2 linked regions of the Oreochromis niloticus genome follow. The main gene of each other region encodes a partner of the protein of the gene in region 2 in a complex. Links are inferred from orthologs where the notes say so. Each region holds a gene or a part of one and is shown on either strand. Other genes may lie near its edges. The genes, in order: lrwd1 and orc2.

Region 1 (7,824 bases), on a different chromosome or scaffold from region 2:
GGGATCGGGGAGGCAGAAGCTATTCTCCCAAAGAGCAGCAATCTAAAATAAACAGCAATAGTTAGGACAGCGATTACAGCCTGTGTGATGAAACGACGTATTGCCACATCTGTGCCAAAAATATCTTTGTTCAAAACAACAGCTGCTAAACATCATTTTTTGGTGCATGTTATGACTTTGTACAGTATCAAATGCAGGAACATTAACACCAATACCATGAAGTAGAGCAAAATAAGCCATTAGTTCCATACCCTGGTCCTCAGATTATCACTGTAGACATAACGCAAGTGGTTGGCAGAAGTACTGACATCTTTACCGCTGTAAATCCTCAGATTGGGCAGCAACACCATCAGCTTGTAAGTGTCACTCACCTGATAACCAAAAGAAACGTTAACAATTAAGTCAGTGTGGCGGCATTTTATGATGAAGGGACCTAAAAAATGACTGTGTGCAGTCTTTCTGTGAACGCTTTCCTTTCAAACGTACTGTACATTTGATGTGACTGTGCAAATGTGGAGGACACTGGAGATCACAGCAAAAAAGGAAACAAGTTTATAGTTCAGAATTATTATATAATTACTCATTCTGATTACTGAGCTGACAAAGATCTTATATATTTGTTGTGTACACTTTTGTGAGCTCAGACTGAACCTACCGGCTATTCGATCTTGTTTATGAGTGGCAGCCAATCAGAAGCAAAGGATGAAAATGAGCGGAAACCATTTTTAAAAGAATTTCTCTGCTAATAATACAGTTTTCATTGGGGTACTGGGATAATAGGAATGCAGGGATGTGTTTTGCTTTATCAAATGCATCACCTAGAAAAACAACCAGATCCTACAGAGTAGCAAGGATTTCCTTATTTCCATTTATGGTCTGCAGGATAGTGGGGGCTGAAACTGTGTCTCTTTCACAGTGGGGGAGAAAGGTTGGAACACAGTCTATCTTAGAGTTGACACAAAAGAGAGCCATTCACACCTACAGGACTTCATTTCACATCATCAGCATGTGTTTGTATTGCAGGTGATGCAGACAGAATACACAAACTCAGCAGACAAAGGCCTGAGCTGGCTGAGGAGTCAAACACAGGAATATTTTATTGTCATGACAACTGATGCAACGTGCTCCCTTGCAATGCTAACACTAATAATCAGCTGGTATGATCATTCAGCAATGTAGCCTGACTCAAATATTTCTCCATGAGCCAAGCCAGACAGCAGTAGGTGTAGAAGTATGTGATTTTATGAAATACTGATGACAAGTGTCAGTTATAACCTGTTCATGTATTTGCCATTTGTGCTGTAGCTGCAAAGAGTAACCCTAAAACAGGAGTGTAAGGAGAAAACAAAGCTATGTGCTCACAGTGATGTAGAGGTTGCCATCCATCCTCAGCTCTTCTACGTTGCTTAGGGAGTCCAGAGTGGTAACATCCTCGATCTGGTTGTCACTCAGGTCCAGGAAGCGAAGTGCAGGCAGCTCCAGGTTCTTGGGAAACTCCTGCAGCATGTTTCCAGAAAGATCTAACTTCTCCAGAGACTGGAGACGGGACAGCAGCTTGACAGGTAGATCCTGAAGCTTCAACCTCATCTTAGACAGACTGAAACACAAAGAGCACCAAAGTTAGTGTTTCCATGGGGTATGAAATAAAATTACATATGAAGCCGTTTAGTGATTATAGTATTACATCTATAATCATTTGTTTAAATATTATTGCATACACACAAATATCACAAAAGTATCAAAATATTTCCATTAATTCAATGTTTTATTCCAGTTTTTAAATAGCCAACTGCAAAATGTCTTTGAATATTAGGGCCTTATTGTTTATATGCACTCAGCATTGGCATAAATGTCATGGTCATTTAGGGCTTCATAATTTCCAGGGTGGAACGAATGGATACATTTTAATTACTTTAAAAAAAACAAGAATCATCATAAAAATACCATGACAAGCATGCCCATGATGAGTGGATGTAAACTTGTTACCACAACTGTAACTAAGCATTACCAGTTTACTTCAGTGCAACTTTAACAGCAAGACACCTACAGAGCATGATAAGGAGAAACAAAGTCCTTACTTCAAAGTCATGATTTGCTCCAGTTTGTTGGCTTTTGGAGAGGCTTTCTCCAGTAAAACTTTCTCAGTGATTTTTTCCATTGCTTATCTGCAGGAAGAAGCACAATTCAGGAGTGAAGATGGCAAACTGAAGATAGGGCTGAGATAAGTGTCCTCCTAGTTTATTTATATTGTCAATCCTGTTCTAATCACGCAACCAGAGCACCGCCCACATGGCCAAAACAAACTGACTACATCAAGGACTGAAACTCCGTAAAAGCTCTTTAAGAATATGATTAGATACAAACAATAGGATAAGAAAACATGAATTACAAACATGGTCTGTAACTGCTTTAGAAGGCCTGATTAGTAATCAGCACCACTGATCAGCTTCAAGAACAATGAAAATTCCTGTGGATGAGAAACGCTGTAGTACACACAAAGACTTAAACAAGTAGATTTGTGTTTAATATTATTACACAGATACTGTTTACAACTGAGCTTGTTCCACTTGTTTTAGCTGGTCTAATTACTCTTTTTTGGCATTTTTGGCATTTAGCAATTAAAATCCCCTCTTGCTCCTCAGCATGATTAATCTGTTAAAGAAATGGAAAATTTCCTCCAAAAACAGTTTACGATAAATAAGCGGCTATTCAACAATAACAGGCTAAATGCGATTTCATAACGCTCTATCCTTTAAGTAACGTTGTCATAACGTCTATATAGAGATCCATACTAAGGTGAGGAAGGATATTTCACGTAAAGAAGATGAGAAAGCGTTATATGATAATAAGTTTGAGTTTCTCCTAGCTAACCACGTTGGCAGTGCCGACAGCCGTATATATCTCTATATATTTACATTTCTCGGCTACAAACACAAATAACAATTATTGATTTAATTAGAGCAAGCGTTAGTGGTTTTGCTTTTGTTATTAAACAGCTTAAAACTTGTCAATATATGTGATTAATATCACTTACCAAACACTTGAGCGAACTCAAAACACTCTTGCTGAAACCGAGCTTTCCCGGGGAAACGTTACGTATATCCGGTGGGCGTGGTTTAAACAAGACATTGTTTTTTACAGCCTGGGTTTTGCTTGCCAGGGATTAACAACCTATGGCAATTGTACAATAACTTACTCATGGCCATTGATCAGTGTTCCTTGATCAGTGGGTTTTGGTCAGTGATTGTTGATCAATGGTCATGGGAATTTGCATAATTATGATTAAGGAACTGACCTCACAGCCCATTGTTCCTTCAGTGGGCTGGTTTCAGTCATTATGCAAATGTACTGTTTGTAAGGTTTGGGGAAACCTGCAGTCAGCTGAGACTGAAGAAGTCACTTGGATGAGTGACAAAACGTTTCTCCCACAAAATGCTACGTCCAGATGAACAGATTCAACTTTTGGAGAGGTACAATAACTTAGTTTTTATTATTATTACTTTTTTCATTTACGTTAAGCACATTGAGTTTACGTGTAATTAAAAGTGCTGTATGAATTAAATTGACATTGATTTAAAATTACATTATTTTAAGTTCTTTGGATCACAAAGAAGTGAAATACTATTGGCATTTCATTCCAAAAAGCCATCATCTGAATATTTTCTGCTTTTGTATAGTTCCAATGTTCCAAAACAAAAAAGGCAATATTCGTGTAATTTTTGAATGATTCAGTTGAAGTTGTGCCGTTAATCACCATGCAGAACATTTTCAGGATATGGTTCAAAAGAAAGGGTCTAGAACTGAAGAGTAGATTTTGCGGTCTGTAGCCCCTGAAATGCATTCATTCTGGCACTCCCAGTTTAGAGCAATGAACAATGAAGACTTTAACAGAACGGCAAGGAGGGGCAAGAGGTCTAGGCAGGGTGGCACTGAAGTATATGAAAATCTCCCATATGTAAACGGAGTCAACAAAATATCCACAAAAACACTTTAAAATGATTTATTGCATCATTATCTGTTCTAAGAAAACAAAGGCTATAAGAGGCTTTTGGAGTTGCCCCCAACTTTTTTAAGGCAGTCAGTCGTGAATGTTACTAGTGAACATTAACTAGTAATGTAGTTATGTTAATGGTTTTGGTTGTGAACCATAACTAGTTATGATACAAACACTACTTCCACTACTATGTTTTTTAAAATTATTATTAATATATATACATTTGTATTTTTTATATTCAGATATCAGTTTTCTTATTTGCTTCCTCCTTTAGCTCTGCTAACCCTGAAAATGCCCGCATTCTCCGCTAGCTGGCGATAGTTAAATGTTTTCGTTTGCTGCCACTTCCTGACACAAGAAGAAGATGCAGGATGATGGCTCCCGACACCAGTGACGACGTGCCTTCATGCGCTTGTAAAGGTGTCCGCCGGTGTCTCGTCTGCGAAGGGTTGAAAGAGAAAGTACAGCCGGAGGCGAGTGAATCAAAGGTACTGTTTTCCAACAGAAAACTGTTATATTGTTTTTATAACAAGTAAAAAAAATAATCAAATACTGCTAACAGCAGCGCACACAACAAGGTACGGGTGCCCTCGGAGGACATTCCATCCTTATTAAAGGGATATTACTGCGGTTATAAATGTGTGCCAACAGCGTTTGTCTTTATAACAAAAAGGCATTCACTACAAACTGTCAATTTCATCGCCAAAAATTATAATTCTAGGAATACATTTGCGTCACTGTATAAATAACGATGTTTTTCTGTTTATCTGTCTTTCTGTGAAGATTGTCCATCATTTCCTCTACGATCCTCAGTCGAGGCTCGCTGTTGGAAAAGATGCCCAGGCTGCATCCTTCCCCTTTTCTGGGGTCTTCCTGTGGGAGAACTTCATATCAGAAGAGGAAGAGAAGGAGCTTATATGTGCGATGGACCAGGATGTGTGGAAGGAGTCGCAGTCCGGTCGAAGAAAACAGGTTAGCATGTGATCAAATAAAAACAAACAAAACATTTTTGTTTAGACTATGATGAATAGAAGCGATTATTAGGGCTGTAAAGTCAATATAAGTGTCAGTCCGAGTTTACTCAGGTCATCAACATTGATTCACAGAGAGTTTGAGTCGTACCTCTCCATGCTGCCTTCAACACTGTTGATTGTTGATCGTGATATTTTAATTCAAAGGCTTCGTGATTCAGTTGGTTTAACTCGTTAGTTTCTCGATTGGGTTTCATCATGACTAAAGGGTAAATGTTTCTATGTGTCAGTTAATATTTTTAGAACTGCAGAAATAAACATTCTGTCATTGGTTACTTTTTAACCTTATCACTTAACTGATCTAACCTGTTCACAAATTATTAAGCTGCGTTGATGACATTAACTTGTGGATGTCTAGAATCTTTCTAGAAATGAATAGAGACAAGATAGAAAATCCAAAAAGTCAGAGACAGAGAAAATTTGTTCATATTTATTATCCCTTTCTGTGAAAAACGATGAACAAGTCAGGCACCTTGGGATCATTTTGGACTGTGGTCTCAGTTTTGATAATCATATTAATAAAATAGACAGAATTGCTTTCTGCTACTCAAAATATATATCAAAGGTTAGAAAATTCTTATCTCAAACTGACTCTGAAATTGGGCCATGCTTTCAGATCAAGCAGGTTAGATTACTGTAACACTCTTATTTTGTGGGTGGGACATGAGATGAATTACTACTGTTTTATATTGCCTTTAAATGTTGTAGAGCTACATAGCTTTTTTTATCTTTTATGGTAAGCATACTAAGTGTACCCATAATAAAATGTGCTATATAGATAACATTGTCGTCAATTCTATTTGATATATATAGTATGGAAAGTATATATACCGTAGTAATGGAGTGACCAAAAGCCTCCTCCAATATTGTTGCAGGACTTTGGCCCGAAGGTGAACTTCAAGAAAAGGAAAGTGCGTGTGGGTGGCTTCAGTGGACTCCCTGCTTTGAGCCATAAACTTGTGCTTCGGATGTATCAGGAATCAGCTCTAGCCGGCTTCCAGCCAGTGGAGCAGTGCAACCTGGATTATCATCCTGAGCGAGGTGCAGCCATCGATCCACACTTAGACGATTCTTGGCTGTGGGGGGAGCGCTTAGTCACCATTAACATGTTGTCAGACACTACACTCACCATGTCTCTGGAGCAGGGTCTGCCAGAGCTGGGACTAACAGGGGAGGTCCATGTAGCTGTGAACCTTCCTCGCAGATGTTTAGTAGTTTTATACGGCGAGGCACGGCATAAATGGAAACACGCCATTCACAGGAAGGACATTCATGTACGTAGAGTCTGCAGCACCTACAGAGAGCTATCTGCAGAGTTCCTGCCTGGAGGGCAGCAGGCAGACCTCGGAGCCCAGCTGTTGAATATCGCCTTGAACTTCCAAGGCTCTCCAGTTTAATCTAATTTGATGGATCCAGAGGGAGCTGCAATCTAAATCACTTGGACTTGTCTTAAACTGTAAAGATGTGTCCTTTGGACACCCTAGGGCTTGTTTGCTGGATCTGTGCCAGCTCCCCAAATAGTGAGCAGTGCTCACGAGGCTTGTGTGCATTAATTAGTTGAACATCTGCTGTGGTGCGAAGCCAAGCTGAAGTCGAATTGCTTTGGAAAAAATGTTGGGGGGAAATTGTGTTAAAATAGCTCCAATGTCATTATATTATTCCACCCCCACCCTCAGTGTTCTTTTTGTTTTATGACAAATGGAGAGAATAAAGCAATTTTTCCACGCACAGGGCGATCCGTGGTAACTCGCTAATGGAGATTTGCCGCGTTAATGTGGTTATGATGTTAACGTCATTTTAACGAGATTAACGCTGACAGCACTAATATAAATATATGTTTGTGTGTGTGTGTGTGTGTGTGTGTGTGTGTGTGCAGAGAGACTGACACAAACCTAATCTTTGACTTTGTGATGATAAGAACAAATCTTTGATGATAAATTGAATAGAGAATTATACACGTGTTGGGATTGAGGCTTTTTTTTTCTCTTTCAGAACTGCAATTATAATTGTTAAGATAAACATTTAACAGTAAAATATGACTTAAAACAAAATCAAATCTGATTGCAAAAGTGAATCAAAAGATCTGTCACCTGAAACAATCATGTGCAGCAGCTGCACATATCTGGCTTTGTTGAATCAGCAGTGGCTGCGAGTCATTTTTCTGAAACCCAGTTTGTCCAGTTCCCGATGAGTTCTCAGACACAGAGTGAGAACTACAAACAGGATGTGGCCTGCACGCTCAAAACGAACTGCCTTTACAAAGTTTTTGTGTTCAAGTCATCTTTCTTGAAGTCATTGTCTATTCAAAAGAAACAGGAAATGTGCAATGGTGTCAAAGCTTTTATTTTTCAGTTCTCTAATTGTGTTTTTGAGGTTGCTGCTGTTATCCACACATTTAGCTTCACTGGTCACAGATGTCTGTATTCACAATGGAGTCACGTCTCCAGTTCATCCAGCTGGCAACATATGAATTTGATTAAGGACTACAAACATGAAGACAAAACCTTTATTGTTACTGTGTTCAGGATGTAGCAGGATTGGGAGTGCCGTTCCTGCTTAGTGATTTACTTTGTGATATTTAAAGGAAAAAATAAATTATATTGTAAAAGAGATAACTTTTCAATAAAAAGCCAGGGTCAAATGAATTATTGTCTTCTGTATTTCCTGAATAGAGGTTTATTTCTGCTGGGGTTTGGAGCAATTTATAATAACATTTTTCATGATGGGGGAAATGAATTGTCACTGGAGAGATTACTATACTAAATAATACATTTTAAAAAGAAAGCAGTTAAAGTTATT
Region 2 (7,426 bases):
ACACTGAAAACAAGCAGGATGTATTCAGGATAGATTTCAACAGAATTACCACCTCAGTGCAGACTATTATGAACACACACCCAGTGGAGCATTGATGTGGTCTAAAGAAGCCACCATGTGCAAGTTGGGCAGGGATGCCAGCTGCCCCAGTGCACTCTGGGTCTTCTCTCCTCGCAGCATGGGTCCGTCTATATTATGGATGAGCAGGTACACGTGCAGATCTGGGCCTGTGAGGACATCGGTGTAAAACATGCGGTACAACCACACATGCTTGGGATGCACAGGGGTTTGATGGGCTTACTATCTTTTAAGGTGTGGGAGATAAACTGGATCTGGTCCGAGGGGGTTCGGAAAGTTCCCTGGTGATCCAGAACCTCACACGTCAGAGCATTTAATATCTGTGAGAATTTAATTTTCATGATCAGGGATATTTATTTTATTATGCAATTTATGCAAAATATTTTCATGTGTGTGTGTGTATACTGACTGATTTAAGAGTAATGGAAGGGAAAAATCCATTAACCACAAGATGAATTTCTTGCGACAGATGACACTCCCTGAAGTCTTCCAGCAGAGCTTTTTTGCTTCCCAGACCGTAGACCAGCACGCTGAATCCCAGCCTACACACAGACAGGCACAGACACTTTTTACTGCTCTTAAAACACCAGAAAAATGCATACAACTACGTTGCAACCTCACTTACTGTAACTGTAACATCCATTTGCTAAAGTGGATTCTGTGTTTGTCGTGCAGCTGCTGGATCTCTTTTGAGTAGCAGGATTGTTTCCCCTCCAGAAGTCGGACCAACATTTCCTGCAAAAACAAAAATAAAGATAAATTCACACTAAATCTATTAGGAAAGCAGCTCATTTACAATGTTTCAAAATGCCGTTAAAAACAAACCCTGTCAAGTTTAGGGGTGTTCAAACGCTCCAGAGTTCGGTCTGATGTCAACACTTTCGAGCTGCCGTGAGCTTCGAAGTACTCCTCAACCATACTGGGCTGGTTCTGAGGTTCGGGCGTGCTCTTGCTCTTCTTGGCAGGAGTCTTGTAGAGAGCCGCTGATAAACCTTTACTGGGAGTTCTCGGTGTGGTCACGTTCTCTTTATCCTCTTTCTTTCCTTTCTGCTCTTCCTCCAGCCCATCTTCATCCTCCTCCTCACCCGAGTCAGAGGGTGAAAGCTCACTGTCGCTGTCTGACCGCAAGCTCGGAGCTAAAAACAAACAAACAAACAAACAAACAAAAACAAAACATTTAGATTAGAGGAAAGGTGAAATTTCACTTAGAATGAATTGAATTATTCCCAGTTAGACTCACTTGCTATTCTCTTCCTGAGCCTGTGTGGTGTTGTAGAGACAAACTGGACCTTTTTGCTCTGCCGTTAAATAAAAATAAAATAAAATTCTTAAGTTGGCACCAGAGGTCGCTGGCTTTGGACTTTAAGTTTAAAGGTTTCTATGGTCTCACCTTCTGTGGTGTTCTGCTTTCACCTCTAGGGTCTGAAATAGAAGAAAAGAAAATATTTAACTGTGTGAAAATGAGCAAAAAGATGAGTATACGGAAAAGATTATGAAAGTTCATTGTACTCACTCCACCCCGTTCGACTGGGGGTTGAGGGTTCAAAGTTTGGGGTCGTGCTGAAGCTCACGCTTTTTCCAGGAGTCCGAGCCAGCTCACTTGCTGTTTATGGAAAGTGTGCAACACAAAATGAGCATATATGGTATCTAAAGAAAGAACTGGAAGGAGATGTATAATGTGCGAATTTTCCGATCTATGTGAGAAGAGAATGGAGGCTCTCACCAGTTTGGGCCATGCTGTGGCTGCGTTTAACTTTCTGAAAGGTAAAGATGGAGGATCCAGCCACTCTTGACAAGCCATCTTCATCTTCTGTAAATCCAAGAGAAAACTGGTCATTTTAAAATGAATTTAAAAAAAGAAAGAAAAAAAAAGCCTCATATATTTTTCATGCATTTATACAAAGCTAAAATTTCACAGCATTATGAATGTTCAAAATTCCCACCAAAAATTTTAAAAAGATTTTTAAACTCATGTAATCAAACAACCTATATGCCAGTACTGATAAGCATATAATATGTTAATATCAGCAATATAGTCCATCTGACAAACACACTTAATGTGTGCAATGGAGTGAAACTGAGGTGTACAGAAAGTCTCCTGCCATAATCATAAGTACCTCTGTGACATGAATATTTTTACAAGGATTTTGTAGGGGATTTGAGCTAACTATATGCAAATCTCTGTCATTGATTTGAATTTCAGCTGGTAAACCAGCACTTGCGAAATTCCACATTTGTACTTTGCCTGACTGTGTAGAGTTAGAAAATCAGCCAACGTCTGTCTGCATTTTTCCAAACGTATTTGGGTAAATCTACAAAGAGCAGTAAACCTGAGTCAGCAGTATCGTCAGCTGATCACGGTCTGTCTGCAAAGAAAACAAACCTCCCGGTGAAGAAAGTCATTACCCCTGCTCAGCACTCACCTTCTGCATTATCTGTTCCTAAAGCTTGGACATAATCCTGCTCATCGTGGACTCCATTTTCATCTCCATCATGTTCCGCATCCTCTCCGCATCCCCGTCGTCCAGCCGGGCTCTTAAACTTTACCATCTTCTGAACGGACCCGGCGATGCTCTGCGCAACTTATGGAGGTACGCACAGTACAGACAGCAGAGTCAGAGAGACACAGAAGTGCTCGTAAACTAACATTTCTACAGTAGCAGAGCATCCATACCCTCCTGCTTGTCCACGATGTGCTCCAGGACATCGCAATCCCCGATGAACTTCACCTCCAGCACACTCATGACTAAAGATAACAACGACAAACAGCGCGACTTTAGTTAGTTGCTTGTAACACTACAAAATATGCTTTGCTTTTCAGAGGTGTAGTTCCTAACGCAGGTTTTCATTCAGTCCGTTTCTATTCACGAACACTGTGGGGGCGGCCATTCTTCTCAAACAGCGAGAAACAGCCCTGCTTCAATCAGCGGCCACACGCCGAAAGTCCAAATAAAAGTGGGAAATAAAAACAGAAACAAAAATGCGTCTAAAACGACACAACTTACTGTACAGCGTCAGTACCGCCACACAAAAATGTAAACACAACTTTCACACAGTGACAGCAAGGCAGTGTGCTGCTGGGACAAGTTTCCGCGCCATCCTGCTGAAGTTTTTAAACCATGTGACAAGTGAAAGGTCATTCAGTGGCCAACTGGAACGCTGCTTCCAGCTAAAACCACATTTCCCAAGATGCACTTCGAACAACAGCTCAGTCTGTGCGGCTAGAACCCTACAGGGGAAGGGTTTTTGCCGACTGATTAATTATTATATTTTCAATAAGTAATGTAGGTTACTATTAATGCGAATGATGTATTTTCTGTAATATTAAAAAAAAATAACATTTATCACCAAGATATTTTTTACGTGTCCGTTCAAACGCTGGCAATTATCTATTCATAGATTACAGAAAAATAGAAGACTAAAGGGGACCAAGAAACTTTTTATTTTGTTAGAAAAAATAAATCACAAAAGTTTGCAGTTGTATATAAAAGGTCATTCATTAGCATTTATTAGCACTGGTATTAATAGCTGATAGCACAAAACATCTTTCTTTTTATGAAGTCATCACTAGCTAGGTCTTCTTGTAGGCCGTGAAAAAGTGACAAAACAAGTGCAGAACACAATTAATTTTAAAGAGATTTAAATTAGTGAAACAGGGTTTCTGTTACAATATGAAACTTCTGAAGCCCACAGTAAGAATATTTTCATTAATTGTATGTTTTACCATCAAGATGACACATCTCACTAACAAAGAAGGAATCGCTGTATGTGTTTCTAATGTGTAAATAATTTGGAATGAGTCTCTATATAGCTCATCTGTCCCAAAGAGACAAGAAGGGGGAAACATCGTCCAGCTCTTCACCACCCGCGAGTGGGCGTCCACTTCCCTACCAGACGACCCTCAGAGTGTACATGGTACACAGGATGCATCACTGCTGTTGCACATGACTGCAGAAAAAAGGCATTGTCTGACAACAGGAAAATGTACAATAAAACTGATGTGTCAATAAGATGTGCTATAAATCATTCAGTACTAACGTGGTAGGGAATCAGTGTGAGCAGAGAGCCCAGGGGGTATTTGCTGTAGTCCAGTTGTCCTGAGATGGGCTCCACTCGTCCATGCTCCTGGGTCATAGACAACAACCTGGAGGGAAACGCCAGTCACGTTTAACATTGGTACTGAGAGTTATAGAGAAAAAAGATACTAAAATAGACTGAGATTTCTTTTTTTTTTTGAAGCATTACTTGAGGTTTGGATGCCCCTCGATCACAGCATATCCAGTGGGAAGTTTCCCAGCTCCGTCCAAACTGAGAGACACAAGCAAGAGTAGGTAAAAGGTTAAGTTACATGGTTGTTCCAAAACAGAGCTTACACTGATGATAGCAGTGATGAGTAAAACAAAAAACAGAACATAGGGGATAGGTATTAGCTCCCACTGAATGAAGTTGAACCCACCTGATTCCAGCCCATCCACAGTCAATCAGGAGCTGGTTCCTGTGTGGACAGTGACCGATGACTCTTGTGAGAACCCTCACAGCCACGTCCTCCAGACAGCATGAGCCAATCGTAGACTGCTGCACATCTGCATCCCACAAACATACATTTAAAAGAAATTGTTATTTAAAGGCCCTTTTGAAAAATATATTTTAAGTGTGACATGTGACATGTCTCCCGACTATTCCTCAGCTCAAAATACCAATAAGGTCATTTATCCTGCCATACCTATAGACTGTTTAATAAACCTCTGCTCCAAACAGGCTGTTTCAGCGCCTGTAGCTTTAAATGTTGTCGGGTCCCGAAGTGAACTAGAAACATGTCGGGGCAAGTAGACAAAACTAAGAGGCAGCAATATCATGACCTTAAGAGCACAGTACGGTCAGGGACTGTTTTTATAGGGCAAAGGGCTCTTTCGATTCTATGTTTCCCATCTGATGTGAAATCAAAGGGCATGGTCTGTGTCATGTTTACTGGGTCACGCTGGGAATATTGAATATACACAACAAATAACGAAAAAGTGGATTTTACACGTCACACTTAAACTAGGAAACAGTGGGTCTACGTGTACACACCATAGAAGACGTAGTTTCCTGGGTGGACCTCGCTAAGCTGCGCCATGTCTTTGACTGGATGGCTACAGGTAGGGGTGGAGCCAATGCTGGACTTACAGGTGATGCCAACAGCCTTCAGTCTGACACAAAAAATCCCAAAACAAACAAACAAAAAACCAGTTGAAAGACAAAGTTAATGCAGAATTATTCTTCCAGGTGGCTCTAAAAGAGTCAATCACACCCACAAGAAAATGCTCAAATTTAGAGGAGAAATAAACATGTTTACAGCCTGGTGCAAAAGATGGGATACATCATTTTTAGATATGATGTATGATTTATTTGTTGCTTCTGGAAACAAAGCTGTGTGACTCAATACAAGAAACCTGTGGGCTGTGAAACTAAAACAAAGATGTTAAAATAGGTCATAAAAACTAATTTTTCAAGAGTATGAGCAACAGCTTTTATGTCGTGTGTGTTCTTAAATAGCCAGTGAAATAAAATGATTGATTAGAGCAGCTTTAATGAGTCAGTGTACATGTATTTTTTTAAACTTTCAGCTTACTTTTCCATGAACTGCAGAGTCAGTTTGGTGGTTTCCTGGGCAACAGCCTGTATTTGCTCAACTCCTGTGCAGTAATAGGTATTCCCACAGTGGGCGTACACTCCTGTAAGTTCCACGCCCTCCGTCTTAGCGATGGCTTCAGCCAGTTTGAGCGCTCCTGGCTCCGAGTGCAGGACGCCAGCTATGACAAAGAGCCGACGCATGATCAAACCTCGTGTTAACAGAGAGGTGAAGTGTAGCTCAGGCACTTATGATTAGATCTATTGCGGTTTCCCTGCACGTTTACCTCTCCCATTGCCACAGTCGAGTTTGAGCCAGACGTGCCACTGCCGACCATCTTTCAGGGGTCTTTTTCGGAGCTGCTCCAAAGCATCAGGATGGTCCAATAAAATCTGGAAGAGATCCAGTCTCTCTGACAGGGCTGCACAACGCTCTACCTAAAGACACACAGAGACATACATTAGAAATGGCACAGAGAGCACAGCTGGGACATTAAAAACTAACAAATATAAAACAGATGAGAAATTATGTCAAAGTAATGGCATAGAACTGGAGCTATTTTACATGCAAGTGCTATGGCGATATACATGTATCATATATTTACATATATGTATTGTTTCTAGTGATAATATTACTAAATATGATTCATAGTTGATACATTTTCAGCAGGCTCAGTTATTAATAATATATTTTTTCCATTTCTAATTTTTTACAGCTTTTATGATTTCACAGAATATAAAACAAGGACACATTTAAAGTGTGAGCTGAGAGAACCTTATCAAAGGGAACAGAGTAGGCATAGAGGATGTCATCATATCCATGGTCAGCATAGAAACAGGCCTCTGCCAGGGTGGAAACCACTATGCACCTCTGTGATCCACCCGTCATAATGTCAGCACACTCACTGGACACACACAGAGACCTCATCAGAATCCTGTATACACAGCAAGTCTGTAAGCATGTGCTGTGTGCGTGTCTATGCGTGAGCATATGAATCCATACAGGGTTTTGTGGGTCTTCATGTGTGGACGAAGCTGGACTCCCAGTTTCTGGCAGCGCTCGATCATCCTCTGGGCATTCCTCTTCGCTTTATCCACATCCACCACAAAAGCAGGAGTAAACAGGGCTGAGAGAGGATCTCCCTCCATACTGGCAGCACTGGAGTACACACACACACACACAGAGCACTTCAGATATTTCCCATGCAATTAAATTCTATTGCATGATTGGCTCAACCAGCATATTTCTATAGTTATATTTATAAGTATCTGCTATACATGCACGAATCAGCAAGTAAACTTCATTACACTTGGGTGTGGTTTTGCAACGTCTCTGATTATGTAATGCAGCGCACTTTGAACTTTGACAACACTAACTTAAACTTAAACACTAACTTTACAAATGGACTGCAACTCATTAAGCAGTATTTTATTCCTCCTCTTTTTGTTACTATAAAGACCTTCCGATAATATTATCGTGCGTCATAATGATAGATAGAATAAAATCAGACTGCATTCGAATCTGCATAATAGCGTTTGTGAAACAGTGAGGGTAAACACTAGCACAATAACAAGCATCGGAAACAACAACAATAACAACAAAAAATGCAGACAAATGCAGCACAAACCACAGTTTACCTTTTCAAAACAGTGAATCGGAAGTTCCGATCACATTACTACGGTGTCCTCGAGGAGTCAAAAATAATGAAAAAAGTACAACCAGGGAGAACCTTTAGCG

What was found.
Region 1: the proteins of orc2 (region 2) and lrwd1 are in contact, whole or in part, in a crystal structure (PDB 8SIU), measured with the Rattus norvegicus proteins. The link is inferred for Oreochromis niloticus from reciprocal best matches to the Homo sapiens genes ORC2 and LRWD1. Residues at the interface, in NP_001012003.1 of Rattus norvegicus: Val11, Pro12, Ser13, Val14, Gln15, Phe16, Val17, Gly18, Asp19, Val22, Leu23, Ser24, His25, Ile26, Leu27, Asp28; in XP_038945348.1 of Rattus norvegicus: Pro262, Leu263, His264, Phe265, Leu266, Gln267, Cys268, Ser270, Asn273, Ser274, Pro275, Leu320, Val321, Leu322, His323, Lys324, Tyr325, Lys326, Leu367, Val369, Gly372, Phe373, Cys374, Pro596, Pro598, Val599, Ala600, Val605, Ile630.

The regions. Positions count from the first base shown.
Region 1 is NC_031975.2:24,535,086-24,542,909, reverse strand, and holds the start of lrwd1 (leucine-rich repeat and WD repeat-containing protein 1), read right to left. Parts: upstream 3,117-7,824; 5' UTR 3,035-3,116; intron 3,026-3,034; exon of another isoform or gene 2,172-3,025; intron 2,166-2,171; 5' UTR 2,159-2,165; coding exon 2,079-2,158; intron 1,598-2,078; coding exon 1,363-1,597; intron 372-1,362; coding exon 252-371; intron 43-251; coding exon 1-42. Other genes in the region: alkbh4 (alpha-ketoglutarate-dependent dioxygenase alkB homolog 4), read left to right, coding at 4,366-4,482, 4,778-4,966, 5,901-6,422. UniProt on the Homo sapiens protein: Required for G1/S transition. Recruits and stabilizes the origin recognition complex (ORC) onto chromatin during G1 to establish pre-replication complex (preRC) and to heterochromatic sites in post-replicated cells.
Region 2 is NC_031982.2:7,478,938-7,486,363, reverse strand, and holds the start of orc2 (origin recognition complex subunit 2), read right to left. Parts: upstream 3,243-7,426; 5' UTR 3,084-3,242; intron 2,825-3,083; 5' UTR 2,823-2,824; coding exon 2,753-2,822; intron 2,661-2,752; coding exon 2,502-2,660; intron 1,889-2,501; coding exon 1,802-1,888; intron 1,682-1,801; coding exon 1,592-1,681; intron 1,501-1,591; coding exon 1,469-1,500; intron 1,377-1,468; coding exon 1,319-1,376; intron 1,215-1,318; coding exon 904-1,214; intron 814-903; coding exon 704-813; intron 621-703; coding exon 488-620; intron 399-487; coding exon 302-398; intron 228-301; coding exon 81-227; intron 4-80; coding exon 1-3. Other genes in the region: uncharacterized protein LOC100700781, read right to left, coding at 3,937-4,026, 4,117-4,222, 4,324-4,386, 4,535-4,661, 5,149-5,267, 5,690-5,870, 5,976-6,126, 6,464-6,593 and 1 more. UniProt on the Homo sapiens protein: Component of the origin recognition complex (ORC) that binds origins of replication. DNA-binding is ATP-dependent. The specific DNA sequences that define origins of replication have not been identified yet.